2 linked regions of the Diceros bicornis minor genome follow. The protein of the gene in region 1 interacts with the protein of each later gene in a biochemical or structural test. Links are inferred from orthologs where the notes say so. Each region holds a gene or a part of one and is shown on either strand. Other genes may lie near its edges. The genes, in order: RNF20 and WAC.

Region 1 (15,021 bases):
TCTACTTTTTTCCCTCAAATGGAGAGCCTCAAAGCAAAGCTCCACTTGAAAAACCCAGATAGCAGCAGTGGTAGAATCCACAATAAACACTCGCCTCTCTCTCGGTCATCTTTCCGTTCCTGGTTGCTGTCCGAGTCTGGTTCCGGTTCAGGCACAACAAGGGCCTTTCTTTCGGTGAGGAGATCTCCCAAACCCTGCTCCAGATCGTAACGTTTAAGGATGATACGGATGTTTTCATCAAACTGGAGAAGGGTAGGTACAATTATGAAAAAACAAAATACACAACTTGGGAAATGAAGACAGTGCTAAGGAGAACTATATTGCTCAAAAAAAAACCTGAGCAGATAAACAAGCCAGCTACCTGACTCCAGTACCGGTTGACAATCAACAGTGAGGCATCGTCAGTGGCCTGTCTTCGCTCCAGTTTTTCAATGTGCTCACGGAGTTCATCTTCAATGGCCTGCCGTTGATCCAGCATTTCTGCCAGCTTGCGATTTTTGGTTTGCAGCGTTCGAATGTCTAACTCCTCCTGCCTCAGGAAACCAATCTTATTAGTCTCCACAAATAAATTAAACAGATCAGCTGCTAAACTCAACAAGGTCATATTAGTTAGTTAATTCCCATGAATAAAGCTATTCATTACAAAAAAATCTTACAACAAATAGGTAAGAAGTAGGAGCAGAAGAAATAAAGGAAAGGGTCTATGATGATAGAAGGAAAGAATGACACGTACAAATATACTAGAACTCTCTCACCCATCTTACAGTTCCAATCACAGGTACATCCACAAAAGTACCACACCATGAGGCTCCACCATCCAGCTAGATCACCCTCTACACTGATCCACACTCTAACCTATCTCCTGAGCACTGCCCTTCATTTATTCACGTCTTTGACACCTGGGTCCTTCTCTATCCCAGTGCTTGTCAGTGACCTCAGTATACACGTGGACATCCTCTGGCATGTAGGCTGTGTTTTGAATTCCTTAACTCCAATGATTATCTCCTCCACTGGGCTTCAGCCATGCATTTCAAAAGCCACATCTTGGATTTTTCTCATTATCTGAAACTGTGCCAAATCTGAAATCTTAAATTCCAACTTCCCATTCCCTGAATAAAACCATATCTTTCTAGGTAACTCATGCCCTTATTCCAAAATACCAGTCCTCATCTAGATCTCCAAAATTTTGAATTCTCTCCTTTCTCTCTGTCAGTCCCCTCTGTCTCCATTATCTTCTATATCTTGACTATACCTATAGTACATTCCTTCAAACACTCGCCTATCAGGCTCTTCAATTCTCTGCCCTTAATCCTTTTATTCCACCTCTGCAAACAAACCCCAGTCTGAGTTAATCCACATATCTGACTATTCCATTCCTATACCCAGTATGCTGAGACCTCTAGATATGATCAGTCAGGGAGACTGGTGCCTTTATAAAATGAACTCCTAACCTGAACAGATCTTATAAGTTGTCCAGAAATGTTTCTTTCTTTAACAAGTGAGCTATCTCCTACTCTCCATCAAGGCAATATCAAACTCTACCAAGCCCTGCCTCCTCTCACATCACACTAAGCAGATGACTTTGCTTCCTATTTTAACAAGAAAACAGAAGCCATCAGATGGAAAGCTCCTCAACTCCCCATCTCCTTGACCCCTTCACACCACTTACCAACCTATGCCCACATTCTTAAAACCTCAACTTGTGCTCAGGACCTCGTTCTCTTCTGTTTCTTCAAAATCGTCACTCCATTAGGAATTCTGCACCCCTCTCAGTATCTTTCACCTCTCTCTCTCTAGCTCCTTCCCTAGGACAAGGTGGGGTGCCGGAGTGGGGTAGGTAGTATCTCGGTAAAAGAACAGTACGTGGAACGGATTACATTTTTACTTTGCCTAGGAATTAATGAATACTTTAAAATAAGAACTACTTATTAGAACACCAATTTCTTGTTTCACTTTTATTTTCTCCCATTTTGGTTAAAACATTCTTGATACACCAAAATAGTCAAGAGTTTCCCAACTGTACCAGTTTATTAATACTATTACTGAACTACATCCTCAACCTGTTCTCTGAACACTGCCTTCACCTTCTTGCTCTAACTAAAACCTGGAAGAGAATACTGCTTCCCTGCAGGCTTCTCCAGTGGTGGTGGTTTCTCTCTCACACCCCTTAAAGCCCTGGGCCTGGAGGGACGGGTGTCCTCCTTGTTCTTCATTGCCACTTCTAGGCCGTTATCTCTCCCTCCTCCCTAAAACCTCCTAGCTTTGCAGCTCATGCCATTGGTCTATACCACCTGGCACTCTGCCTTGTTGCACTCATCTATAAATGGCCAGGTCACTTTTCCACATTTCCTGAAGATTTAGCACCTCACTTTTATCACTCTCTCCAATTCTACCCCTGTCATAGTTCTTACTGATTTCAATTTCCACATAGATGATCGTTCCTATATCTTGGCTCATCAAGTCATTGACCTCCTTTCCTCCAATGACCTCATCCTCTACCTCCCTGAGTCACCAAACTCCCACAGGTATTCGTAGTCTTAGCCTTGGCTGTACCTGTATGCTCTCCATAAGCTCAGTTTCAAACACTCCATTCTCCACAATTACCACCTGTTTTTCCAGCTCACTCTCTCTAGTTTTCTGACTCCAACAATTCTTCAACTCCTCCAGAATCTACATTCCAACATTCCTACACCTTTCCCTGTCCTTCACTCCTCTCTTCCTTCTTTATCAAAATTAAATTCCATGATCAGTCATTAAAATCGAGTCCCTTTATAACCTTCTCCTTCCTCATACTAGCCTGGTAAAACCCCAATCCTGGTAACATCCAACTCCCCACCTACTCCAGGCCTACACACACACAGCTGAACACGACTAGAAAATAATCAAGCACCATGCTGACTGGGCTCACTTTAAACTCGTGACCACAAATTCAAGGAGGTCCTCAGTGCTGCCCAGCAAGCCTACTCCATCTCTCTAGTCCATTCTCTCTTCAAGATGACTACTTCATACCTTCTCCTGTCTCTTCAAACCTCCAAAACTTCCTCCCCCATCCTCACTCTCAGATGAGTCTTGCTTCTGATTTCACTGAAAAAAAAAACAGACGCAATCAGAAGAGGATGCCCACATCTGTCTCCCACAACCACAACTACATCTGAACCCATATCCCCTGCCCTCCTGCTGGATGCTGCAGATAAACTGTCCCTGCTCCTAATTAAGGCCAATCTCCCCGCTTGCGCATTATATTACATTCTCTCGCCTATTCAAGGACATCACACCAGTAACTGTCTCCTTTTTCTGCTACATCAAGTTTGTCCTCGCTACCAAATCATTTCAACCAATAAACGTGCTATAATATCTCCTGCCTCAAAAAACAACAACAAAACCTTCCCTCGACCCCTCGTTTCCCTCTGGCTACTGCCCCATTTTCTTTGTTCTGCTTTACATCAGTACTCCTCCAAAGCACTGTCTCGACCCTCTTTTCCTCAATTCCTCTCCTCTCATATTCTCTTAAGTTCACTGCAATCAGGCTTCCATCGCCACCACTCTACCAACACAGTTCTGGTCAAGTCTCCAGCAAACTTTCCATGCTGACTCGAACATCTCAGTTCTCCCCTTACTCAACCCATCAGCAGCACCTGATCAACTCCTTCTGGAAACACTATCTTCATTTGGCTTCTGGGACCCCACTGTCTCTTGTTCTCCTCCTACCACACCAGCGCTTCTTCTTCCATCTCTTTAGTTAGTCTCTTCTCATCTCCTTGACACGAAAATGCTGTAGTGCTCCAGTGCTCTGTTCTCAGATCTCGTCTTTATCTACGCTTACTTCTTAGGGGAGAGCCTCCAGTCTCATGGATTTAAAAATCATCTACAAAATGATGACTCCCAAAAGTACAGCTGTAGCCCAGACCTCTCTCCAGACTGGAGATTACAATATCCAACTACCCATCCACACAGAGGTCTAACAAATATCTCCAACGTACATGTCTAAAAGCAAACTCATGATTCATTCTCCACAGCTCCCAAAACTCTGCTCCTCTCTTACTCCTCCCCAGCTCAGTAAGTGGAAACCCCATACTTCCAAAATCCTGGGGTCATCTAGCCTCCTTTTTCTCATATACTTCATCCAGTCCATCAGCAAATCTTGTCAATGCTACCTCCACAGTGGTCCAAACCACTACGATCCTCATCAAGATTACTGCAAAAGCCTCCTGTAGCCGACATTTGTGCCCCATGCCATGTCCTGTCAGCCTGCCAGACTTCAGCACAGCTGTGGTGGACAGCTCCATTCACAATGCCAGTGTTCCCACTTAAGCACACTTTGGAGTCTCAGTTTTTGGTTCCAGTCTCAGCTGGCTCACTACAGCAACCTCGAAGTGCAGAGGAAAGGTTATTGCCTTCAACCAATTGGGGCAGGAATCAGTGGATATATGCCTCAGCTCCCCACCCTTAGAGAGGTGGAGTGGGAGGGGGAAGGGAGAGAAGGAACAAGGGAACAATTTTGCTAACTCAACTCTGGCTTATAACCCTTGCTCCTCTAAGTCTTTTCTCCAAACATACATCAGAGCATGTTACTCCCCTGCTTAAGACCTTCCAATGGCTCCTCACTGCCTTCTGGATTACATCAGTACTGGGACGTGTGCTCCACCTTCCCTTAGAGCACGTGGTTATCCCTATGAAGAGCACATATCCCACTCTATCATAACAGTCTGCTCCCTTGTCAGTGCCACCCTACAAACTGGAGTCCAGGGGCTGTCCTCAGTGTAAAGCACAGCATCCAGCAAATGACAGATACTCAACAAATGTTTATATTTACTGAATGAATAAATGTCCTTGGGATGCATAATGAGAGACAGTGCTGAGAAAAAAATCACCTCCTGGCAGCAGTATGGAGTAGCTGAACCCCAGATGGTCTCAGAAATGACACTTCATCAATAGTTTACTCTGAATGTTCCTATTACTCTTTCTAATCCTCAGCCTCAAAACAAATAAGTAACAGATATGGTTTTGTAAGCTATACAGATGTAAAGCATTTTAACACCATATTCCCACAGCTGAGTTTTAAAATACGGAATCCTGATCTAGATCAAAACCCATTATAGCAAGCTGCTGATGTCTAATCAACATATAACATCACTATGAGCTTTTGGTGTATAACAGTCTAAGGAAACTGTTATAAGAGAAAGGATAGTATCTGTTTCATTCACCATTATATCCATATCATCTAGTCCAATAATAATTATGAATAGCTCACATATATGGAATACTTACCATGTTAGAGATAATGTTTTAACCCTGAACACGGACTCTTTCGTTTTATCCTCTCAACAACCCAATGAGGAAGGTACTATAATTACATCTTACAGTCAAGGAAACAAGAGGCACAGGCAGGATACCACAAGGCCAGGCAGCTAGGAAGCGGTGGAGTGGAGAGTCAACTCCAGGCAGTCTGGCCTCAGACTCTCCCTCGCCATCACTCTCTCAATGATTCTGCTACACTGCCTCTTAGTATCTGGCACTTAATTTTTCAGTGAATGAAAAATGAATGTATACCTTCCCACTGCTAAATACCTATAATCAACGCTATCTCAGGCACCAGACTCTCCAAAAAATATAAGCACACTTTTGAAAATAAAGATCAAGAAGGCTTCCATAAACTCTTACTTTCAGGTTGCAACTGACAGAAGAAAAGCACCCTCTAATAGCACTGTTGCCACATACCGTTGAAGAGACGCCCCCGAGCTTAATTGTTTCCACCGTGGTCCCTGAATCTTCAACAGCTGTCTTCTTCTCCGGAGGCACGGATGTGCCAGGCTCTCCGGCCGCTCTTTTATTTCCAATTCCTGACATCTTGGCACAAGACAATAGCTGTTTTCCTAGAGGGAAAAAGGGCAGAAACTGGGGTAAGATATGCAATGAGAGCAACAATAAAAAGAGACCACCTATGATGTAAAAAATAACAATTTTTCCAGCCAACCCTTTAACCTGCATCCATTAATTCCACACCATGCAACCCAAATGCCTCTTAGAAAGAAAAAAGTAAATTGTGGAGTAAGAGTCAGGGCTGAATTTACATGACTATAAATTTCTAAATGGAATACTGATAAGAAAGAAAGCAACCGGCAAAGGATGAAAAGATCGAGAAAAATTTCAGAAATCTCACTTCCTGAAATGCCAAAATCTGAAAAGTACAGTTTGATTAGGATGGAAGTTAATTCCGTAGGGTTGGGAGAATCACAGAGCTGAAAGAGAGCTGGGAGATGTCTACCAAATCATCAGTATTGGACAAGTCACTTATCATCCGAGCCTCAAGTTCCTAAACCAGGAATAACAACAGTATATACTTCCTATGCCCCTTATAAGGAATGAATGAGTACAGAAAGAACTTAGCACAATGCCTGAGATGAAGTATGCGCTCAGAAATGCCAGCTCTCCTTTTTATATTTCCAGTTTCTTCCCTATTTCCAAACGCTCTCCCCATGATTTTGTGCAAGCCTAGGGAAGCTAGGCTTGGGGGCGAATCCCAGTGCTACCTCTTAGGAAGCTGAATTGCCTTGAAAGACTTCGTTCTCCAAAAGCTTCAGTTTCCTCAGACGTACAACGGAAGCGAACAAATACCGTGTCTGCCCTACCAGCCTCCCAGGGTTCCGGAGCTCAAATGAGGCGGAATGAATGCCAAGGCACCTGGCTACTTTAGGAAGCAGCCCTGCCGTCACATTACCCTGCTTCCAATTCAAGCTCCCGGAGCGGGGTATTGGGGGCGGCAGCCTGAGCGGGACCTCGCCTGAGGACAGGGGAGACAGAGAAGCAGGACAAGGGCCTCAACCCGACTCGCGAGGGGCCAAGGACCCCAGCCTCCGGCGCGGCCACCTGCACGCCCGGGAGCCGGAGAGGGTGGCGATTCCCGAGGGCCCGCCCTTACCCGTCGCGCCCTGGGCCGAGACCTAACCCGGGTTCTTCCAGCTCGCGCCGCCCGGGTGCAGAACTCAGGCAGGTTGTTCACCAGCGTCTGCAGAGCCCTCCCACCTCTCACCCCTGACCCGCGGGCGCAGACCCATCGAACTTCCGGGAGGCGGGGCCAGGGACAGGAAAAAGGGAAAGAAAAGAGGAAGTCGCTTCAACCCGGCCGGGTGGACTACGCAACACAGCCGGGCGGAAGTGACGTCCCGCGAGGGCGCCGAGCGCCCGGAAGTAAGCGCGGTCTCACTGGCAACGTTTGCAGGTGCGGTCGGCTGAGACTTCGGATGCACCAGGGCCTTCAGCTCCAGTGACTTTTTCGGCTTGTTGGCCTTTGCGCCCGCCACCTGGTTTTTCTACTGAGATAAAGTGCCTTGTTCTGTTGCTTGGTATTAGTTCTACCGAGACTCTTTCAGGCTGCCGATTGGCTGATGGTCCCGTCAATCTCCGGCAGGTGAGAGCTAGCCTCCGATACCTCCGGAAACTTTTACTCGGCGGAGTCCATTGGTGCTGAAATGAAGGGTTCTGCAGAAAATCCAAGAGGTTGGATGGGTTTCGGGGCTTGGAGACTTTTACAGGGAACTATGTACAGCCCTGTCTACACATTAGAGTCACTTGGGGAGTTTTGGTCCCTGTAGGGTAGGGCCTGGACATCCACACTTTATTTAAAGCATTTCCCCACCCCTCCCCCACCCATGAGATTCTAGTGTGCAAACAACATTGACAACTACTGCTGTTGTGCATCTTTGGAACAAGAAATTGACCAGGGAAAAGATAAGAAACACAAATGAATGAGTTGTTTCTGATCTCAACAGTAGTCTATTTGAAGCTAATTAAGCATTGGTTTTAGTCAATAACAAACTGCTATTTCCTGTTCAATTAAGCTAAATGTCTATGTTTTAATGATAGTAAGGTAATCATTCTAATTTATCAATAAAAGGCTGTATGTGTCATAGAACTATGAAAAAGTATCTCATGGTATCAGATAGGTGCCCAGAGATGGAAAAATGATTGTTATGTCTTAAAAAAAAAAAAAAAAAAGAAGAACCACCAATGGAATTTAGGCATCTTTGGAAAAAAGATCAACCCTAATCCACACTGGATTTCTGGTCACGTGAAGACTTTTGTCCCTAGGTCTTACCTGTGGGTGAAGTAAGAAAGTAAACAATGGGAAAACGAGTGTTCGTGGTTTCCAGTACTGGAACGCTTTAACTAGCCTGGAAAGAAGTAACTGGCCCCACTTGGACTTCAGATTTTTTCAGGCAAAGCAGAACCCTGAGAACCGTGTTTGGGGATCCACCTGCTGAAAAGCATTGTACTAGAAATGATATTCATTCTCTGATCTCCCTACTTTGGCTGCTCTACTCTTGGCAAGTCTTGCATCCACAGAACCGCTGAATGGCAAGCAATGGTTCTTCTAGCCCAAAGTTTGTAAACAAGAGGCTCACAGGCTGTATTTGGCCAACAGATATGCTTGCTTTATTTTGGCCAGTATTGGCTGCGCTTTGTGGCTAAGGAGGGGGAAAAAAAACTGGCTTGTTGCCAACATTTAAAATAAGATATTTGAAGTAAAAATCCAGATTATCAACTTCTCTTGGAAATGTTGAGGATCTAGCAACACCAGGCTTGTATTCTTGCATGGCCACATTGCCTAGAGCTGAGCAGTGCTTCCTCTTTTATTCCTGTTTGCTGTAATCCCCACTCTTCATCATCAGTTCCCTGCCACTCTTCGAGTTTCAGTTGTGTATCATCACCTGTGTGTTGTATTGTCATAAATCAGTTGCTGATATTAAGTGAACATTATTGGTTGCCTACCCAGTATCCATTCTCCCTCCCTCACCTTCTTAACACAACTAGGATATTATTCACATATCCATTTCACTTACTTCATTCCGTATGTCTTGGGGGAAGCCGACTTCACTTCCATCTCCAAAGATTGCCTTAATATAAATAGTAAGTCCCATTCCTCAAGCCAAAGTCCTAGTCTTAACAATGGACAGTTCAGGGTGAATTGCTTTGAATACTAGGACTGAAGCAGTATACTTATCTTCTGAATTTTTTGTGTGAGGCCTGAAACTGTTGGAGTTCTTGCTACCCAGCTTGATAATGAAGCCAACACAGAGGTGGGCAGAATTAAGAGAATCTCAGGGAAATAGAGCCAGATCAACTCAGGACAGCCCTAACTTCAACCCACATTTCAAAGCGCTAGAGAAGATGATGAGAAGAGAACAGATCTTTATAGGACCTTTCAATTCTCATCATGTAGACAACCACATTCTCCAGCTGCTGGTGAGATGTATCTTTTCCGAAAGCCCCAGTCAGCCATCTGACACCTTCCCGATAGCCTGTCCTGATCCAAAGAGGTAGTCTCACCCTAGAGAATTGGGAAAATGGAATAGATGAAGGGGAGGATGGCAGAGACTGTGCTCATTGACCTTATTCCTCATTTCTGACCAGCCACCACCTGTTCACCATCTTAATCAAGAGAAAAAGACTAGCCCTGGAAAAATGTTTAGCCCTCACCCAGAAATGGCAGAGCAGCATTTGCTATACTAAAATAATACTTAATATTTTATATCACTTGTCTTTGAAAGCTCTCATTGCTTGTCTCAACAACATTATAACATAACTAATACAGTAATAATGCTTTTTTAGAGGAGAAAACACACTCAGGAAGATTTCAAGTGATTTTTCCAAGTTATTTAATGAATATTTGTCAAAGGACCCAACTCTTTTGACTTGTCCCTCATTTTCGTTAACTACACAATTCTGCCACAAGGTGGCAGCAGGCAACACGCTTTTGATCCCAGTTCTTCTAAAGCTTCCGTTGCAGAGTACTGCACTTACCCTTCGGTCATGTCTTCAACTCTTAGAAACCTGGACAACTACTTAGGATGGGCTCAATGCTCTCATAAAAGACATAATTAAGAAATTTTGGATTCTTATTTACCATTTTGTCTATGTTCTCTGCAAATGTACTGCTGTAAGATTGTTGTTATATCTCCATGCATTCCAATATTCCATGAAGTCTGGATTGGATTATTTGTGTGCTAGGCATAATTCCAGAAGTCCCTTATTTATCCTTATTTTTAGTCAAGTTGTATTTTATCTAGCATGACATCACTTGTTAAACAGAAACATACAGACTCCATGGCTCCTGCTCTAGGCTTAGTGAATCAGAATCTCCAGGGGAAAGCTCTCTGGAAATGCAAGTTCTTACTTTTGAAATTATGCCCACCATCTGGGCACGTTTGAGGAACACTGTACTAAGTGATGATATCCAGCTCTTCCTGAGAGTGTTCTACAGAAACCAAGCCCCTCCTCTTGTCCTCAGCCTCTCCTACCTCCTCCTATAAGGTAGGATTGCCACATCTCTCTCTTCTTCTCTACGCCCTGCCTCCTTCTCCCCAGATCACCTGGTCCGCTGTGCTATGCCATGCCCGGCCCTCTCACTTTGTGATTTCTGGGGACCGTGGTCATGGCTTAGTCCAGGGGACCAAAGCCAGGCCTCTCATCCTCAGAGAGTGAGGACAGGGAGTCCTAGCAGGGTTTATGGAAGCATGAGAGCTGATTTGTAGTCACAAATTGTCAGAGAAGCCCCACTTCATGTAATGCTCTCCTGAAAAGCTGCATTGTGATATGTGACAGAGAATTGGTCTTTTGTGTTTTTAGGCCATGTGACATTCTGTGTTTAGGTTACTAATATTTTTATAATTTTGATTTTCATTATGCATTTGTGCTGGCCGTGACTCCCTCTAGAGGATGAGAATTTGCAAAGCAAAAGCCACGCTGTCTTAGTGAATTCTCACTGGGTACGTCCACTATTTCATACTGCTGTTACTGGGTAACTGGCAATCCACCCAGCCTTGGAGGAGAAAAAATATTACTGAAATGCTTGCATCAGGCATTAGTGTAGGGGTATGGAACATAGTTACGAAGGTAAGATTTTGAATTTTCATTTTCAGCAGCATAGAATGACCATCCTTTAGAAAACAAGCTGAGGACTAAAACTGGATTTCAGCTTAAGGGCATTTGTCAAACTGGGTAAAAGTGAACTTAGGTTTTCATGGCCTTGAAAGGCAAGAGGTACAGGAGACAAAGCCCAGGGCCTATCAAGGTTGAGTGCCTGTTGTGGACAGCAATAACAAAATGGAGTCACATGTGCCGGTGCTTCTAAATGGAGCTGAGGAAGTGAGGCTTATGCACGTACACCACACCTCTGCATGATGCAGCGTGAATTTTTGAGCTGTGCCTCGCTGTTATCTTGACCTTCCCTTAAAAAAAGAAAAAATGCTTATTTCTATAGAAAAATGCTTCCTCCCATGGGTAAGAACTTTTTTGCCTTGGCGATGCCTTAGCAACCAATCACACATAGCCAAGGAATAACGGTTGTTGCTAGCACCAATCATGCATCTTGCAAAATAGCCTGTATGATTTATCTGTTTTTCTCTTTATAAACCCTTGCCTTGTCTTCTCCAGAGCACATTTGGGTTTCTGCCTAAACCTGTGTCTCCCAAACTGCAATTCTAATTGCCCAATATCTGCCGTTTAAATTGCAGTGATTTTTCCTCAGTCAACACTATTAGAGAGCCCTCTGAATAAGAGTAAACTAGAAATAACTATTCTAACATCCAGGGGACTGAAAGAAAATTGTCTATCTCAAACCTTCATGTAAAGATTTTTGCTGACTGATCTGGAATTCCAGAAGACATTTAGAAAGAGTTTCAAAGAATGGAAGAGGTGGAGAAGGGTCCACAAAGGCCAGGGGCAGAGTCAAATAGGAATAAGAGACTGACCCTTGTTGGAATCTTTAGGAAATAGACTCTGACATGGAGATATGCATGCAAGAGCTTTAGCACCTGTAGGAGAGGGGAAGAAGCAGGACTGGGCAGAAGGAGAAATTGGACTGTGTTGCTGTCACCACAAAGGCCTCCACTGATGTGGGTAACTCGAGAACTGGGAAAGCCTATCAGAGTTGCCCTGAATTGAGGCATGGAGGCTAAGCTTTTACATCCCTGCATCAATCAGTATTGGATGTGGATACCAGGTGACCTGGGGAAGGGGGAAGGACTTTGAGTGAGGTGGCTTTCTTCAGCCAAGGGCAAACTCTGGATAGGAACTCAGCTGAACACTGACATCCAACATTCCCGGCAGCTGGGGAAAATGAGCTCCTCAGTTCTAAAGGGGGGCGGGGGGCCGGCCCGTGGTTTAGCGGTTAAGTGTGTGCGCTCCGCTACTGGCGGCCCAGGTTTGATCCCGGGCGCACACCGACGCACCACTTCTCCCGCCATGCTGAGGCCGCGTCCCACATACAGCAACTAGAAGGGTGTGCAACTATGACATACAACTATCTACTGGGGCTTTGGGGAGAAAAGGGAGGAAAAAAAGGAGGAGGATTGGCAATAGATGTTAGCTCAGGGCCGGTCTTCCTCAGCAAAAAGAGGAGGATTAGCATGGATGTTAGCTCAGGGCTGATCTTCCTCACAAAAAAATAAATAAATAAAGGGGGGCAGGGGAAGATGTTGACAGCACACCACAGCATCCACTGGATGACCAAAGGATTGGGATAACCAGTGCTGGAGGTCCTAAGGCTTTGAGGTTGAAAAAATGTCGCTTTGGAGTCTTGCTCAGAGACACAGAGGCCAGGGGCTCCCATCTGACTCCTGCAAATGAAGGTGTGGAGTCTTGCTGACAGGTGGTCCCACTTCTAGTACCCAGGCACTCCTTTAATCCCTTCAAATGTAGTTTGTAAAGGGATTATTGTATTTTACTCCAAAGTTACTCCAAAGATTACTGTTTTTACTCCTGCGGAGAGGAGAATGGAAGAAGAGCCCATTCCCCCAAGACTTTCAATAACCCAATACTGTGGACTCAATTGTGTCCCCCCCCAAAACACGTATTGTGACACGCAGCATGATGGTATTTGGAGACGGGGCATATGGCAGGAGCGGGGAATCAAAGCTATCTGTAAACTTTATAAACAAAATTCTGTTGAGATTTTGATATAGTGCATTACGTTTATAGAATAATTTAGGGAGAAATGAAAATTTTCTCATATTTAGTCTTCCCAACCAGGAACACATCATATCTCTCCATTTTCTCAAGTGCTCCTTTATGTTTCAGTAAAGTGTCACGGTTTTCTTCTATTATGTCTTTCATGTTACTTATCAAATTTATATTTAGATAGTCCGTAGGTTTTGTTGCTATTGAGAATAAGACTTTTTGAATTATATTTTCCACTTGGATATAAGTGCTATATAGGATAGCTATGTATTTTTCTGCCTTCGACTTATTATCTTACAAAACTCTCTTGTTGATTCTCTTAGGTTCTTTTTCTTTTTTTGGGTGGAGAACAATCCTATCATCTGCAAATGATGATTTTCTTGCTTCCTTTCTTTATACTCCTTTTCACTTTTTTATCTCCTTATGTCTTGAAGAGAATGATGACGCTGAAGACTCCCTAACTCATGTAGTCTTTCCCCACCGCATGTATTTTCCCACTGCGTATATTTTCAGTCCATGCCAACCACCTTACATGTTGTCTTTCTGCAGTTAACAGCTGAATTTGCTTGTGTGATATGAACCCCATTTCTTAATCACCATGCCCCATCTGGGTCACACATCTACACCATGTCTGTCTTTTAAGGTCCAATTCAAGTCTCCATTCCTTTGATTAAGACTTTCCAGATAATGTCCCAGTTCTTGTTGCTCAAACCCATCAACTCTGATAATGAAGCAGTGTTAACATTTGAAATGCAATGCAGGAAAGAGGCATCCTCTAGGGAAGGCTGACTGGTTAGCATAAAGATACCTCCCCAGGTGGTATTATGTAGGTGAAGGCACCTTATTTCCTACTCTGAGGCAAAAACACAAAATTGATTACAGTTTTAGGACCCCCACAGGGGATCAGGGACTAAAGAAAACACTCCTTATCCAAACTTACATGCAGTGTTCTAACCAAAATGCCTATTTGTTAATTATTGCAAAAACACCAGACATGTGCATTCTCTGGTCATTAATTTTTTTCTCCTTGTAGCTGGTCTGTGCATGAAGCCACATTTACAGATAATCAAAAGGCTACTTGATGAACCTGGAAGCAAAACAAGCAGGATTAGATATATTATTTTAATATTAATGATACCTGTCAAGAAGGGCTGGCTCAATGATGGTATAGCTTCACAATGGAAAATGTATCTAAATTTATAGTGCTAGCATGAAACACCATGACAGTAGGAATACTATGATATTTTCCTTTTTAAAAAATTAAACTGTATTATATAATTGAAATCTGCTAAGAGAGTAGAACTTAAATGTTCTCACCAAAAAAAAAAAAAAATTTTTTTAATGCAATAATCATTATCCCAGCCCAGGGTAATTGTGCTCATTCAGGTCAATCTCTCTGAGCACAAATTTGGGGCATTTAGGTTTCCAGGCACACCCTCTCTCACCCTTGGAATTTATAGGTGTCCTAAGAGAATCTGCGTGGATAGAGGTCAGGCATCTTCCCCAACAGGCAGTCAAGAGTGATGAGATGGATCACTGAACTCCAAAGAATCTATAGCACACCGTATCCATACTGCAAGCAGTATCTTAATGCCAGCAAAACAACACAGGTGTCACACCAAATATTGTTCATGTGAAGATTATTTGGCTGTATTTATATTTAATTTGTAAATATGTTTTGGTTTGTATAGTTATATAAGCCTAAGGCATTTATACCAAGATTATGTTTATACATTTTTAACTAACATTATAAGAAAAATAACTTAAGTAAGCACTAGGTGGTCCATGAGAAATTTGTTTTCTTTTAGAGAAAGGTCTGTACATTACTTAATTTGAAAAATACTATTTATCACTTAATTGTATATATGCTGTCTTGTGTGGTTCATGATTATTACTTATGTCTAGTCTTTTTCATTCCTAGCTTTTAAATTATTCTGAGATTGACAAAGGAGAATCGATATCAATATAACTGACATAGTATGCCAATGTAAACATTTATTGACTCTAACAAACTAACTGTATTATGATGTTACTCACATCGTTCTGATACACTCAGATATAAAT
Region 2 (15,498 bases), on another chromosome or scaffold:
ATAAGCTTGTTTCTGACAATTTTTGCCAATTTATTTGCTGCTTATGTGGAGAGATGTGTCCTTGGAGTTCCCTACTTGCCATTTTTGCTGACATCACCTCCATGGGACTGATTCTTGAAGAACCTCAACATTTGGTAATGGAGTAGAAGAGGATGAGTCTGCAAAAAGGAATGAGAGGAGCTGTCAGAGAGACAGGAAGAAAACAAGGAATGTGATGTGTTACAGACACCAAGAGAGAAGGGTAATGCAAAGACAGTAGCTATCAATGTCAAATATTCTAAGATCAAGTAGGAAAAAGACTGAAAAATGTTCAGTGGACACAGGTACACAGAAGTCATTTGTGACCTTAAGACTGTTTTTCAATAGGGTGATATCAGTATTTTGAGAACAATTCTTTTTTTTTTTATTTTTCACTTAGGAAGATTCGCCATGAGCTAATATCCATCGCCAATCTTCTTTTGTTTTTTTGCTTAAGGAAGATTCCCCCTGAGCTAACATCTGTGCCAGTCTTCCTCTATTTTGTATGTGGCTTGCCGCCACAGCATGACCACTGATGAGTAGTGCATGTCTGCACCCGGGAACCAAACCCGGGCCACCGAAGCAGAGCACGCCAAACTTAATGACTAGGCCACAGGACAAGCCCCAAGGACAATTCTTAAATGTAAGGGACTGTCCTACACATTGCAGTATATTAGGCATCCTTAACCTCCCACAACTAAACACCAGTAGTACCCCTCACCCTCAAGTTATAATAAAAAAAATATGCAAGTCAAAACCAAAAAAATCCTGCCACACATTTCCAAATTCCTCCTGGAGAATCAGCACTACCTCTTGAAGAACCACTGCCTTAGGAAAATCTATTTTGGTGATGAGGGCAGATGTCATAGTATAGTGACCTGAAATATAAATAGAGAAGCATGAAAATGAGTGAGGTGCCAAAGGCAAGTCTTACTGGAAGTTTGGCTGAAGTGAGAAATACAACAGAGTAATTGCAGGTAAGGAAGGGTTTTTTTGACATACGATTCAGACATGTTTAAAAACCAACAGAAATGATCCAGATGAAAGGGACAGTTTGAGTATACAAAGAAAAAGATCATTGATAGTGTAAAGTAACTGAAGGGGCGGAAGGAAAACATATGTGAAGGAAATAACCTTAGAGAGGAGGCTTAACTCCTGTTTTGAAACAGTGACCTTAGGACAATACAGTAGCATCCAAACTCATTTCCCTGCTTCCTTTCTTGCCATATAAACTATTGTCAACATAGTAGCCAGTGCCACTTCTCTGCTCATAACTCTCCAATGGCTTCTCTTCTGACTCAAAATAAAAGCCAACCTTTTTAAAATGGCCTATTAGATCCTTCATGATCTGCTCCCCCATCCCTTCCTTTTAACCTATCTGACCTCACGTCCTAATACTTTCCCCCTCAGTCACCACATTTCACCCACACAGCTTTCCTTATTGTTCTTGAACACATCAGGCACACTCCTGTCTTACGATATTTGCTCTTACTGTTCCCTTTGGCAGGAACAGTCCTCTCTAGACACCCATAAGGCTTGCTTCTTCATCATGTTCAAGTCTTTGCTCAAATGTCATTTGCTCAATGACCACTCTATTTAATATATTACTCCTTAATCTGGTACTTCCTATCACCCTCCACTCTTCTCCATAGCACTTACTACCTTCTAAACTACTATATCATTTATTTATTTTATGCCTGTCCTTTCCCACTAGAATATAAGCTCCAGGAGAGTAGAGATTTTTGTTTGTATTGTTCATTGATGTATCCCCAGCACACAGTGGGTACTCAATAAATTGTTGAGTAAATATAAGGATAAGTTGCGTGTAGGTATATTTGTATATTTGTAAGCAGGAAGAAATTTCCATTTGATGGTTTCAGTTTAGGAGGAAGGAGGCGATGTTATCTGCTGAAAGTGAAGGAGAGTTAGTAAAGTGAGGGGGATAGGTTTGAAGAGAGTGGAAGTCTGAAAAACTTGTTGGAGTATGTGAGGAAGACGAAGAGAGAAATGTAACATTGCTTGGCTGTACTTAGGGTCCGTTTGATTTTGGTGACCACGAGATTTTAGTAAAATCAGTCTATTCTATTGTTCAATAGTCTTTAGCAGTGTACAACTGCTGAGAAGTACTGAGAAACTGAATAGTCAGGTTAATTCAGGCTAAAGTTTTCCCAGACAGAGGTAAAGGGTCTAGGTTGTATTTCTCAATCTTGGCTGCACTTTAGTCTCTATCACTTGGAGAAACTTCAAAAAATGGCCAGTTTGCAAATCCAGAACTTCCCTCTACTGCTAATACACGAGTTAAAAAGGATCCCAGGATCTGCCGATTACATTATTTGTATTATTATCCCTGCTTAGAAGGATACACCATACACTGACATGGTGCTATCCTGGAGGTCTTTACTCTTTCTAAGTAGTAATTTTTGTTGCAGTTTTCCTATTTTTCCACATAATTGAATAAAAGCCTCACATCACAAATCTGAGAATACAAAGGGTCTCCTTTTAGTTATATATTGTAGTTAGTTAAAATATAAACTCCATAAGAGCAGAGACCAAGTGAATTTGCTTCATATTATGTTTCTAAGCCATGATACACAGACATTTAATGATGCTTTTGAATGAATGAATGATAACCATCATTGGTGGAGCATGTGCCAGGTGCTGCTAAATTATTTATATAATTTACTTGTTACAAACAGCCCTATACCCTCTCAAGCCAATTTTAGAGATGAAGCAGCATAATATCTGAGACTTGGGTAATCTGCCCAAAGTCACACTGTTAGTCAGTCAATAACAGAGCTCTACATTATGTCATTCTGATTCCAAAACCCACGCTTTTAATCACTATACTATGCCAAGTCTGAGAGGAAGGCAAGGATAGTGAAAAAAGCGATAGAAACTAAGAGGTAGGTAAAAATTTCAGGGAATATATCCTTATTTTGTGCCCCTTTAGAAATTCCAGCAAAATCTATTTTAAGTCTCTTTTACAACTAGAAGCTTGAGGACTTCACTTTTTCATTCTTTCTCCACCAATACGATCACATGCAAATCATGGTCACTTATAGTCTGTGGGCTGATAGTTCTCCCCCTCTACTGATTGATGTGTGTTAATCTATTGGTTGAAATACGGGACTTTTGCTCACTTACAAACTTGAGATTGCTCCGTAGAAAGAAATGCAAACAGTCTGCTTAAGATTTGCTATATAGGCAAATTTATGTAAATTTTCAAATGTTATTTGTTATACCTTTTTCTGTATTAGGAATAATCCAGCTTTTCCCCATTTTATTTGTGACAGCAAGATTGGATCTATAATTTTATTGTTTTTAGAAAGCAAGCAGAAATAAACTCATACATCTTTTCCTCTTGAGAATTACAGTATTTTGTTATTTTCTTTGTATATTTTTTTGTAGGCAAATATCCTTTCATTCAACAAATATTTATCTGATTTGTCACAAAGCTTTCATTTTAGTGGGAGATAACCCAACAGATAAACAAAATATATGACATACTATATAGCAAATAGTATAAGAAAAATAGAGCAAGGTAAGGGAGAGAGATGGCCATGGGGTGCCATTTATATAGCTTTCAACGGAAAGACCTTTCTGATAAGGTGAGATTTGAGAAAGATCTAAAGAAGTGAGAGTGTGAGCCAGGTAGGCACCAAGAGGAAAAGTATTCCAGGTAGGATAATAGTGCAAAGGTCCTGAGACAGAGACACGCTTGATATATTGGAGAAAAAGGGAGGATAGAGTAGTGGAAAAAGAATAAGTCAAGTCATTGGATATAAAGCCCGAGGTAACGTGGGTGGGGGCAGTTTACATAGCACAGTAGACCATTGTAAGAACTTTGGCTTTTATTCTGAGATGGGAAGCCACTGGTGGGTTTTAAGATGGGAATGATATTGACTTTTAAAGAGATTACTCTGACTGCTGTGTGACTAGACCATGTGGAAGCAAGGGCTGAAGTAGGAGATCAGCAGGAGGCCTCTGCTACAGTCTAGATATAAGTTGGTGGCTTGGACCAGAGTGAATGGGATGGAGGTGGTGAACAATCAGACTCTGGGTATATTCTGAAGATAATACTGGTAGGATTTGCTGGGGAAGTGGATGTGAGGTCTGAAAGAATCAAGGATGACTCCAAAGTTTGTAGCCTCAGCTGGAAGAATGCAGTTGCCATTTCATGAAATAGGGAAGATCTGATTGGGATTTGTTTGGGGGGAAAAATTAGAGTTTGGTTTTGGATACATTAAGTTTGTGAAGCCTGTTAGACAGTCAAGCAGTGCTATAGAGTAGGCAGTTCAGTGTTAAGTCCAGTATTTAGGGAAAAGGTGTGGGCTGAAGACTCAAATGTGGGTTTCACTTGGCTGGAGATCTGGATGGGACTGCCTAGGGAAAGAGAGTAGAGAGAGGAGAAGCAGTCCAAGTTGTGAGATTTGAATCCTGGGGCACTCCAGCATTTAGAGGGGGGAAACTGAGAAGGAACCAGCAAGGGGAGTAAGGAACAGCCATTTAGGAAGGAAGAGAAGCAAGAGTGAAATACAGAATGGAATCCTGGCAGGCAAGATAAGGAGCTTCAGGAAGGAGAGAGTAAGTCATCAGCTGTTTCAAATGCTGCTGACAGGTGAAGTGAGATGAAGACTGAGGGAAAAAAATGGATTTGAGAACATGGAGGCTAATGACGATTTTGAGCAATTTCAGTGGAATGTCAGGATCAAGTCTGATTTGTAGGTTCAAGAGAGTAGAAGTGGAGATGAAGTTTTTCTATACAGGAGAGCAGATCAGAGTAATGGGGCAGCATTTGGAGGGAGATACAAGTCAAGATTTTTTTTTTTTTGAAGATGGTAGCTATTAACACCTGTTTATGGGGCTGGCCCCATGGCTAAACTCAGCACGCTCCACTTCAGCAGCCCTGGTTCTGTTCCCAGGCACAGACCTACACTACTCGTCAGCAGTCACGCTGTGGCAGCAACCCACATACAAAACAGAGGAAGACTGGCACAGATGTTAGCCCAGGGTGAATCTACCTCAAGCAGAAACAGGAAGGTTGGCAACAGATGTTAGCTCAGGGTGAATCTTCCTCAGCAAAAATAAAAATATCAACACGTTTATAAGTTGACAAAAGTGATCCAGCTGAGAGGGGAAAAATTCATAAGGAAACTGGACAATTCCAAGAGTAAAATGGAACTCAATGCAAAAGGGGCAAGTTTGGTCTTAGATGGGAATTTTGACAGTTTATCTACAGTTACTGGTGTAGCAGGGTATTCAGATGCAGGAAGATTGGCAAGTGCCACAGTGAGAACTACTACTGATTTCTGTTTTCTTAGATAAGAAGCAAGATAATGATTTACTAGAGAGGAGTGGGATGTACAGTCAGGTTTAAAAGATGTTAAATAGTTGTTTAAGAAGGCGGGATAAACGGATTAGGGAAATTAGCCTGAGGGGGTCAGGAACACAAGGAGCTCACTTCAGAGTGCAGATGTGTTTTTCTCCAACCAAGTTCAATAGCTCTGCTGCAGGCATACAGTGAATTAACAAGGGTTCTGATTTAGGCACGTACAACAAAGGAAGAAGGAGGAACGCACTGAAGATACCTGCAGAGGAGGGTTTATAACAACAGATAATGCAGTCTAAGGTAGGCAATGAATCTTTAAAAAATGGGTATAGCATTCAGATGTGCCTTTTAGTAAATAGTCGATTCTCATTATTTGAGGTAGTTATGTTCTATAAAGTTACCATGAACCCTGAACTGCTCCTGGGGGAAATGCAGGGTTCAGTTCCCAAGAGACTCTGGTCACAACATTTTCATCAATACATAATGTGTTTCATGTGTTTCTGTTTAGACACCTTGTTTAATATATATTGTTGATTCATTAATACTGAACTCATTATGGCCAAGAGCACTAATGATAAGTCTGAAGGTAGCTTATCTAGGACAGTGTTTTCTCTGCAAGGCACATCACAGCCTTCTTGTGCTTAGGAATATCAGACAGCACTTCAGCACTATGCTTGGGGGCACTTAAAACAGCAAAACCACCAATAAATAGCACAAAAATGTGAGAAACATGATGATATGTATATTGTGAAAAGCACATCTGTCCACAGTATGAGAGCTGAAATAAGGCAGCAGAGTGTCCCCTTGCTTAACCTCAGCTGGACACATGCATGTCAGACAAGTTAAATTTTCTGTCACTCTGCGCATGTCCATGAACGCTGCACATACTGATTTTCAGGGTACAAATAAATTTTAGTAAGTAGGCGAATTCGCAAATATGGAATCTGTGAAGAATGAGGACTGAATGTACACTGCTTGGAACTGTTTCCTCCATAGCTAAGCCCAGTCTGCTGCTTTTAATCAAATAGTATACATCAATTTCAGTAGACGTCTGATTATCAAACAAAACAAATGTTGCTGTTAGTTGTCAAAAAGTTTCTACATTGATATATTATTTTCTATACTCTTCTAAGCTGGTGTCTCTTGTTTTCAATGTATTTGTTAGAAAAATGTTAGAAATTGCACATAAGACTCGAGGTTTTTTTTTTTCCCCTCATTTCACTCACTGGCAGTTTTTCCTGAGTTACCGACAGCTTACCGGCATGAAGTAGGCTTTTACTGGTCCTCACAAACCGCAATAATTTTAGTATTCAGCAGGCAGCTGTGACAAATAAGGGTATGTAATTCTTTCTTTCAAGCAGTTGTAACGTCAGGGTCTTTTTCCTCACATCATTCCATTTCTTCATTAGGCCCAACAACAAGATAACTTGTTGGATACCAAATAAATCAATTAGTTTTTGATATTGTCTTTTGGAGGGATCTTATTTGTGATGTTTCCTATTATACCTTTTTATTCTGTGTAAACAGTTGTATATTTATGTTTATTACAATCCTTTTAATTAAATTAATGTTGCCTTACAAGGAGTTTAGAGCAGAAAAAAAAAATTACCGGATTACTGCCACTCTCAAGTAAAGCTTCATTTTCTGGCAGACTTGACCTGTTCCCTCCCATTATGCCAGCGTTGCTACTGGGCCTGCAGCAGGACGGAAAATTCAATTTGCAGCCATTTCGTGGAGCACCCCCCATGCCTTTATTCACATGCAGAACTTCCAGAGGAATTTCACCAAAAGGCTCCAGCGAGGAAGAAGAACTAAAAGAGAGAAAAACGAGAAATAAAGGAGAGGGTGGGGAGGGCACGACTGGCGGTGGAAGATACTGAATGTGGAGGAGGCGATTGGTTCAGCATTTTCTCCCAGCAACCCATCCCCCTAAGGCCCCAGGCCCACCCGAGGTTCTACTTCACGGCCCGGAGCGGCGCCCTCCTCACTCTAGAATCTTCCCTCAGCGCGCAGACACCCGGCCTCCCTGCAGTCTCGAGACCCCCCCCCCCCCGTCGTCTCCCCTCCTCGGAAAGCTCGCTCTCCCGACGTTCCGGGGAGTGACTTACTGCCAACTGCCCTCGCCGGGCTCCGAGCAGCCCCCGCCCGCCGAAGGCCGGCCGCGCGCGCGGCGGCAGGGTGGGGGCAGGCGCCCAGGCCCCGGTTCCGGCTCCATGAGGGGCCCGGGGGAACGGTGGGCCCCCCGCCTCCCTGAAGCGGCTGCCGTCGCAGCAAACCGAGAGAGCTCCTTGACAGCCGTCCGCCCGCCGCTTGACCGGGGGCTGCCGACCACCCGGCCAGCGCCCGAAGGGGCGGGCACCCTTCCACCCCCGCGCCGCTGGGCGCACGCGCAGCAGCCGCCGCCTCCCTATTTAGTCCGCGATGGCTTCTCTCGCGCCCCACCGTCCTCCTCCTGAAGGCGGCTCCCTCCCCGCGCACCGCAGGGCCCCTGGGACCGGCCTCGAGCAGGTCCCCGAGCAGGACTATCCCTAAAAGGGAACGGCGCTGGCCGGACGTCGCGTGAGGAAAAGAAGCGGCAACCGGAAAGAGCTGACGGGTCGCGAGGAGGCGAAACAGGCCTCAGAGGAAGAGGAAGGCCGGGGCGAACCGAGGTTTGCCGAAGGCGGCGTTCCGGAGCTGCGCGGGGCGGGGAGAGAGGCAGAGGCTGGGAGAGGAGGGGCGCGGCGGAAACTGCCGAGGTTTGCCGAAGGCCGCAGCGGCCGAGTTGCCCGGATGTAGTTGGTGGAGCGGCAGCGGCGGCACCAGCAGCGGCGGTGGCGGCGGCGGCAGGAGGAGGAGGAGGAGAAGGACCAGGCAGCGGCGGCGGCGGGGGGAGGAGGGGAGGCGGCGGCGGAGCAGGAGGAGAAGGCGGAGGAGGCAGTCGCTCTCCGCGGGGCCGAGCCGGACGCGTCTTCTTGGCCCCCTCCCCCCGGTTCGCCGCTGCCGCCGTGTAGTTGGCGCCGCTGCCCGGGCTGAGTGTGAGCGTGGTGCGACCGCAGGGAGATGGCCCGGGAGCGCCGGCGCCAGTAACGGGGAGGTGCTGAGAGTCGCCGAGGGCGCGCCGGGCCCTGGTGCCGGTGCTGCCGCCCGCCCGCCCGCCGCCTGCGCGCCCGCCCGCCCCTCGCGGCCGCTCTCCGCCCCCCGACACACACTCACAGGCCGGGCATTGATGGTAATGTATGCGAGGAAACAGCAGAGACTCAGTGATGGGTAAATCGTCTTTTCCTTTCCGGCCGGGCCGCAGCGGGCGGGGGGCGGCGGCGGGGGGGCTGTTCCTCCTGAGCTGGTGCTGCCGCGCCGCCATTTTTGTTGTTAAGCCTGCTCGGGATCGGGCGGGGAGGAGGAGCCGCCGCGCGAGCGGGCGAGCACGGGCGGGTGCGGAGGGAGCGCGGGCCGGGGCGCGGGGCTTCGCCCTCTCGGGGCCGCCTGAGGCTGCGTGTGTGCGCGCGCGCGTGTGGGCTGGTCGCCGGTCCGCTCGGGAGGTCTCCCGCGGGGAGGGGCGGGGGGGGCGCGTTTTCTTCCTCTCCCCGAGATGTCTCATGTCGCTGCCTCTCTTCCTGTTTTTCAGCTGTCACGACCGGAGGGGGGACTCGCAGCCTTACCAGGTACCAGCCGAGCCCGGGGTGGGGGGTGGATGGGGGGACGGAGGGGGAAGGGAGGAACTGCTACTCGAGCGCAGGCTTCAGAAGTCGCTACAGGCCCTTCTGTGCAACAGATCCCAAACTAGCACCGCGGGGCCCCTGAAAATCGTGTGTTGGGTTCCCTGAGCGCTCTCCAGCGAGCGTTAGTGACTTGTTTTGACAGGTGACTGGAGGAAGTTCAGTTTTTTTAGAAAAAAATCATTCTCGGCCAGAAAAGACCTGACTTGATTATTTGGGCTTGAAGGAATCGGTGGGATGAGGTGCCTTCTGAACCATATTTATTTATTGTAGTGGGGAACTAAAAGTTAACGTAAAGATATTAAAATTAGAACTAAAAGTTAATGTAAAGGTATTAAGATTAAATGAAAGGTCTGGGAAGAAACAGCTAATTGATTCGCAACTCTTAAGTGTGTTGTAAACCCCTATCGCTTCCCGTTTTGTTTTTGGTGCAAATAATTGCCTGACTAGTGGAAGAGTGCTTTTGTTTCTGAAAGAATTGAGATCTTTGGATACTTAGACAACTCATTCTAATGTAGACAGTGCTAGGTATGTTGGTTCCTTTTTTTACAGCAGTTGCTGTGTGGAAAGTTTTTAAAAATTGTGTGGAAGTGGTCCTTTTTTTCAGGAGGAAAAACTTCATAAATGGTTGGTAACTATCAGATGACACCAGAAGTAAATACTTTCTACATCTGATCACTTAAAGGAAAGGAGAGTAGGTTTCTAAGCTGACAGTTTTGTTACTGGCTACCGTGAGTTGTTAAAGCTCAAGTTAAAAACCTTACGTCCCCTGATAACGTCAAAAACATTGTTTGTTACATTTGGATAGTCAAAAATTAAACGCTGTTGAATCTGCCCCTCTAGAACATAATTAATTATATGCTGTAAAAGACTGGTATATCATAGTTGTCTTAAATATGTTTTAGAATGAAACTAAAATCATTGTGAAGGGAGTTCCATTATGTTTTGTTAGAAATATCACACAACATTTTTATACCTTAAAATTGTATCCCACATCTGCAAGAGTTGGTTAGTTAGGTTTGAAGTGCTGTATTTGAATCAAAGAATTGGAGAGACTGATGCTTTTATTTTTTGTAGGTTTGCAGAAACATGCTTATGCTTACTTTTACTTGTAGTTGTAGAGCAGAGATAGCTTACAGTAGTACTGTTTGTACTTTTCTTTAAATTAAATTTTTTAGTTCCCAGAAAAATTTATTGAGGAATTAATGTACAGAGGTGTCTGATTTCTTGTATTTACGAGATACTTAATGGAGTGGATTTTTTTTCTTTTATTTTTTCTCTTTTACATAGGGTATTATGATTTGTGTGAGGAGTCTTATAGTAACTCTTAGGCATTTAAGACTTGTTTGACTAACTTAAAGGCAGAATTGAAAGTGGAAATTTTAATTTTATTGATATAAATTTATGAAACAATAAATTTAATAACATCAAATTTTATGATAAAATTAATTTAGGAAGTTAAGTTTAAAGTTTCAATTCTTTCTCTCTTCTTTTTGGGGGGGTGATGTTTTACAGGCACTTAAATATTCATCGAAGAGTCACCCCAGTAGCGGTGATCACAGACATGAAAAAATGCGAGACGCCGCAGATCCTTCACCACCAAATAAAATGTTGCGGAGATCTGATAGTCCTGAAAACAAATATAGTGACAGCACAGGTCACAGTAAGGCCAAAAATGTGCATATTCACAGAGTTAGAGAGAGGGATGGTGGTGAGTAGCTTTTTTGTTGAAACTTTCATGTATGTTTATTTTTCACAATAGCTCTATGTAAAACAATAGATAAACAAGGGGGTGGTAATATTTCCAGCTTGTGGACATTACCATATGGTTATGTCATCAAAATAATTTTATTTTTATCAACTTATTTGATTCCTAAGCAAGTTACTGTAGAAGTAAGGTGCTGACCTGAGGATCTGAAAATGGACTTCACTGGTTGATAATTAGAGAATGCATTGATGAATATAGTCTACCAAATTCTTTATTAAGGAGAGAAATGTACAGGACATTTTTCCAAGAAAGGAGCTTTAATCTTTTCAAATAAAGGTTTCAGTTTATTTGGCTTAGTTTATTTTGAGATCCTTGTTGCTACTTGAATTTATTTTTTAAGGAGTTCAAGTGTGTTTCCTAAGGATAAATTATGCAGTTAAAAACTTAGTATGAAAAAAAAACTTAGTATGTTTTTTGAGACAGTTCACAGGTTTAAAAAAAAAATTTGTGATTCAGAAAATTCCTTTTCGGTTTTTGTTGTAAACGTTTAAAATATTCTGTATTCTCCAGGGTCTTGTGAATAACCTAACTTCTATACCATGTTCATTGAAGTATTGAACTTTTTAAAAGTTAGCCTTTTGTGCAGTGCTGTGACTCTTCAGTTACCTTGCCTCAAGCTCTTTGTGGTACGAGGCTGAGAAAAAGTAAATAAAAATAAACTCAAAACTATTTTTAAACTTAATTTGCCCAAAATGTACCAAAATATCAGATTCATTGAGGACCATTCATTGTTCCTCAATGTTTAAAGCATTCATGGAGGAACAAATCAATTTCACTAAGGTGGTTAATACCATTTATATTTTTCCCACATTATATTGCTTAGTAGATAACGTCCTTGAGGTGAATATACAGTATTGATTGTGCTTTTATAAACTTCTAAGGAAACTAAGTGTTGTACCATGTGGCTTTCTGCTTTTGATTGTCAACTAGCTTCTCAATACTTTGTTTACTTTAAAAAAATATCCTGTATCTTTTTGGCCTCTGTTTTGCCTCTTAGGACAGAAATCAGCTTTACTCAGTGTGATCAGATATTGAGAAACATTGGCCGCCTCTGTACGTAGTTCCTGGATTGGGGAAATTAATAATGGTTAGAAGATTGAATGAAGATGAAGTAGTTTGGATGGTTATTGGATGAGTGCAAAATAATATTTCTCTTTTGAATATAGCTATATATAGCTTTGTGCTGCTTATGCAGCACTTAGAAACCATACATTTGTAAGTAGAAGTAGCAGGCACGTTTGGTTATTAAAGTATTAGAAGTTGTTGACAAAATTACTTAAACTATTAATATTTTCAATTTTGTGGGTAAATTTTCTATAGTCTTATGTGTAGTCTGAGATCATGCTGTTATCAACCATTCTTCTATAGTGATTTCATTTCGGATAATAGCTCTTGGAAGGCAGGTACTATTTGTGTTACACTGTTGTATTTTTAAAATTTGGGGGATTGTGACAAAATAGGATGTGGCAACTCGTCTCCTTATAGATAAGTATCTTAGATTCTCTTTTAGTGATTATGTTCCAGTTAACGTATCATCTGTCCCCAAATCCAGGAAGAAGTCAGTGAGGTACTCGAGGAAACTTCTGTAAAAGCTTTGTTACATTTACAGTGAACCATGCCTGATTAATTCTTTTACAGGTGAAATAATCCCAAGAACATTCTGTTGCTTATTCATTCAACAAACATTGGGCATCCACTGTGTGTCAACAATTGTGTAGTGTTTCTGGAAGTAAAGATAAGATGCAATCCTGGCCCTGAAGCTATTCTTAAAGGCTTTGACTCTTGAGAGCTAGTGGTGGTTTAGCTGCTTACTTTTTCTGTAATCCTTTTTTCTTCTTGTTGATTTTAATTTTACTTCCTATGATAACTCCAGATAACCTCTTGTTGGCTTTTAGTTTCCTTTTTACTTGCATCTGCTTGCTGATTTTTTTTAGGTCCATTTGTAAGAAACTTCTTACTTATTTTTCTCGTCTAGTCCTTTGCTAAGTTAGGCCTCACTTTCTAATTTGCTTTTTAGCTGCTTGTCTGTCTTCCTCTGGAGCCTTTTAACTGATGCTGTAACTCCATCCTTGTCTGTACTATCTCTAAGATTACCTCGTTGCCATATTCCTTTATACTATGTAGGAATAATAACACCATAATATATTAGATCTCCATTCTGGAGTTCAGAGTGCCTTTTTGCTGTTAATTCTGTATTTTAAAGATCTCAAGTGGTAATTCTTCCCTCATTTAATACTTAGATGTTTAGTCATTATACTTTGACTCCAGGTGTTTTTTTTTTTTTTTTTTACTGCTAATATGTGTTTGAAACTAAGTTTTTTAAACTGCATATGAATAATTTTATCACAGATATTTTATTCCCTTAGATTTCTATCTTTAAATAAATATGAATTTATATTAAATATATATAAATATTTTTATGTGCATATATATATTCAAAACCATTATCCAAAGTCAAATGCAAGTGAGTTGGATTATTTTTGCGCTCAGCATGTATAAGTAACAATGTAACAACAGGTTACTATATTGTTCTACATAATTTCAAGTCTGTTTTTTAATTTTAGGATTTAAAAACAGTTAATGACTTTCTTTAGTAAATATCTAATAACAGCCTATGTGCTGTGATTTGTAACTTGCATTTTACAAAAGCAAGTTAAACAAATGTGGAACTTGCAAGATGTGTTGATGTTTTTCTCAGGATTGGGCTTTCTGGTATCTATCCACATCACAACATAGTTTTTTCAGTAATTATTCGATTTCTTTCATGGCACCTTGGATTTCCTTGAAAAGTGCCAGTTCAGAAGTAATGTATAAAAGTACTTTAAGATATACTATAAAAAGTAAGAAAGCAGAGATTGAGAAGGATTGTCACTCCTAGAAATCTTTAGTTAAGAAAAGACTTATTGCAACATAGTACATACAGTTATAAGTCAGAGATTTTATCCCTTAAGAGTTTATTAAAGGGAATGTAGATTATCTATTGTAAATTAAGGGAAATTATGTGAGAGTATAACTTACTAAAAAGGTTCTTTAACTTAGTGAAATAAGTTATTTTTATGTATTCTGTGATCTATCTGCAAAAGATATAATTTTTTGTGTAAATATAAGCAAAAGCAAGAATCTTAAGGTATAATTATTAGATTTGTTATTCATAGCTTAGACATGTTTTTAAAGGTGCAGTTGACATCCGAACGTCACAAGTATGAACATACAGTACAGGTTGAATTTGTACTTCTCTGGAATTTTAAAACTCTTTCCATTTGGTTAAAATACGTTTTTTTGGAGGATTAGTTCTAAATGATTATTTTACCAAGTAACTTAAAATTTAAGAATGATGCTAGTATAAATGAGTTTAGGAATGAAGGGTATCTTTACAGAGATTCTGTAAGGCTGTTCCGCAAAACTTCAACCTCTTGGGAGTTGTCCCATTTTTCTCATCATCCCTCTTAGAATTAACTGTAATAAGATATATTTGGAATACTTGTTAGAAATATCTTTTTTGGGGAAATAGCTTAGCTCCATTCGTTAATTGAAAAATATTCTTCTTTATTGGTTCCCTGATTTGTGGGACTTGAGTGCGTTTGCAAAGCTTTGTAGTTAGCATCCAGATATCTTTGAGTACAAAGGAAAATTGCCCTTAGTGGTTTAGTAAGATTGTCTCTAAAGCTTTTAAAGTTTTTAGCTGTGTACTGAAAGTTTTTAGCTTGTTTTGTCATTTAAGTGTATCTGGAGAAATTTGGAAATGTATTTTCATACAAAAGTTACTCTTAACATTTGAAGGAATTGTTCAGTAGGGACCATTTGGGGTTAATTGGTGTTTTCATAGTTTTTTAAAAAACGTAATTTACTAGTGTTTGGATCTTTTCACATTGTACAACATGGCCTTATGGTTATTCAGATAATGTTATGTTTTGAATAAAATGGAATATGCTTTGCATTTGTAATATTAGAAAGTACTATAAAAATGAACAGTCTTATTTGATCCTCATGTTGACCTTGGAAGGTAGATAGAACGTAGTATCCCTGTTTCATAGCTTCACAAATGAGGGAAAATTTACTTGTATGAAATTGAACAAGTAATGACAGAGTTGAGTCTAGAAATTAGTCCTTTTTCTACTCTTTCTAAATTGTATACACTGTCAGAGATTAAACATGTAGGCATATTGAAAGCTGATTTGGTGGGTGTTTACTATGGCACAAATTAGTGTAAAGGTGATTTTGCTTGTATCCTCTTAGTGCTTTCACCTAACTTCCCCCAGTGGTTACAACTTACCTCTTTATAGTACAGTAGCAAAGCCAGGGCATTGCCATTGGTACAGTGTATGTGTGTAGTTCTAGACCAAGTTATCACGTCACTATTTTACTTTTAAAAATAAGTTTCAGCATGAAAGCTTGCCAAAATTTTCTCTAGGAAGAAGCCGTTTTTCTCAAGCCCTCATATTCAGACATTTGTTTTCAAAGCACCTTGGAAATTTCATGCAGACTCTAAAATTTACTAATATTTGGATTTCAGTACAATTTAATGTTGTGTTTTTCTGTCTAGTAAAAATAGGAGATAAACATTACCTATTTTTATTGATCTGTGCTTTATAGTACGACAGTAAACTAGGCAGTTTGCATTGGATTTCCCTAGGTCAGTTAAAAAAAAGACTACAGGAAACAGGTGTTCCATTTCAAGAGAAACA

What was found.
Region 2: the proteins of RNF20 (region 1) and WAC form a complex in vitro, tested with the Homo sapiens proteins (2 studies listed by BioGRID). The link is inferred for Diceros bicornis minor from reciprocal best matches to the Homo sapiens genes RNF20 and WAC.

What each region holds. Positions count from the first base shown.
Region 1 is NC_080767.1:11,216,054-11,231,074, reverse strand, and holds the start of RNF20 (E3 ubiquitin-protein ligase BRE1A), read right to left. Parts: upstream 7,016-15,021; 5' UTR 6,920-7,015; intron 6,884-6,919; exon of another isoform or gene 6,531-6,883; intron 5,874-6,530; 5' UTR 5,848-5,873; coding exon 5,719-5,847; intron 3,085-5,718; exon of another isoform or gene 3,010-3,084; intron 530-3,009; coding exon 362-529; intron 243-361; coding exon 89-242; intron 1-88. UniProt on the Homo sapiens protein: Component of the RNF20/40 E3 ubiquitin-protein ligase complex that mediates monoubiquitination of 'Lys-120' of histone H2B (H2BK120ub1).
Region 2 is NC_080775.1:27,435,560-27,451,057, forward strand, and holds the start of WAC (WW domain-containing adapter protein with coiled-coil), read left to right. Parts: upstream 1-8,516; 5' UTR 8,517-8,546; coding exon of another isoform or gene 8,547-8,553; 5' UTR 8,554-8,555; coding exon 8,556-8,596; intron 8,597-8,954; coding exon 8,955-8,990; coding exon of another isoform or gene 8,991-8,991; intron 8,992-10,541; coding exon 10,542-10,756; intron 10,757-15,498. Other genes in the region: uncharacterized protein LOC131398901, read right to left, coding at 72-158, 6,957-7,158, 7,928-8,516, 8,547-8,553.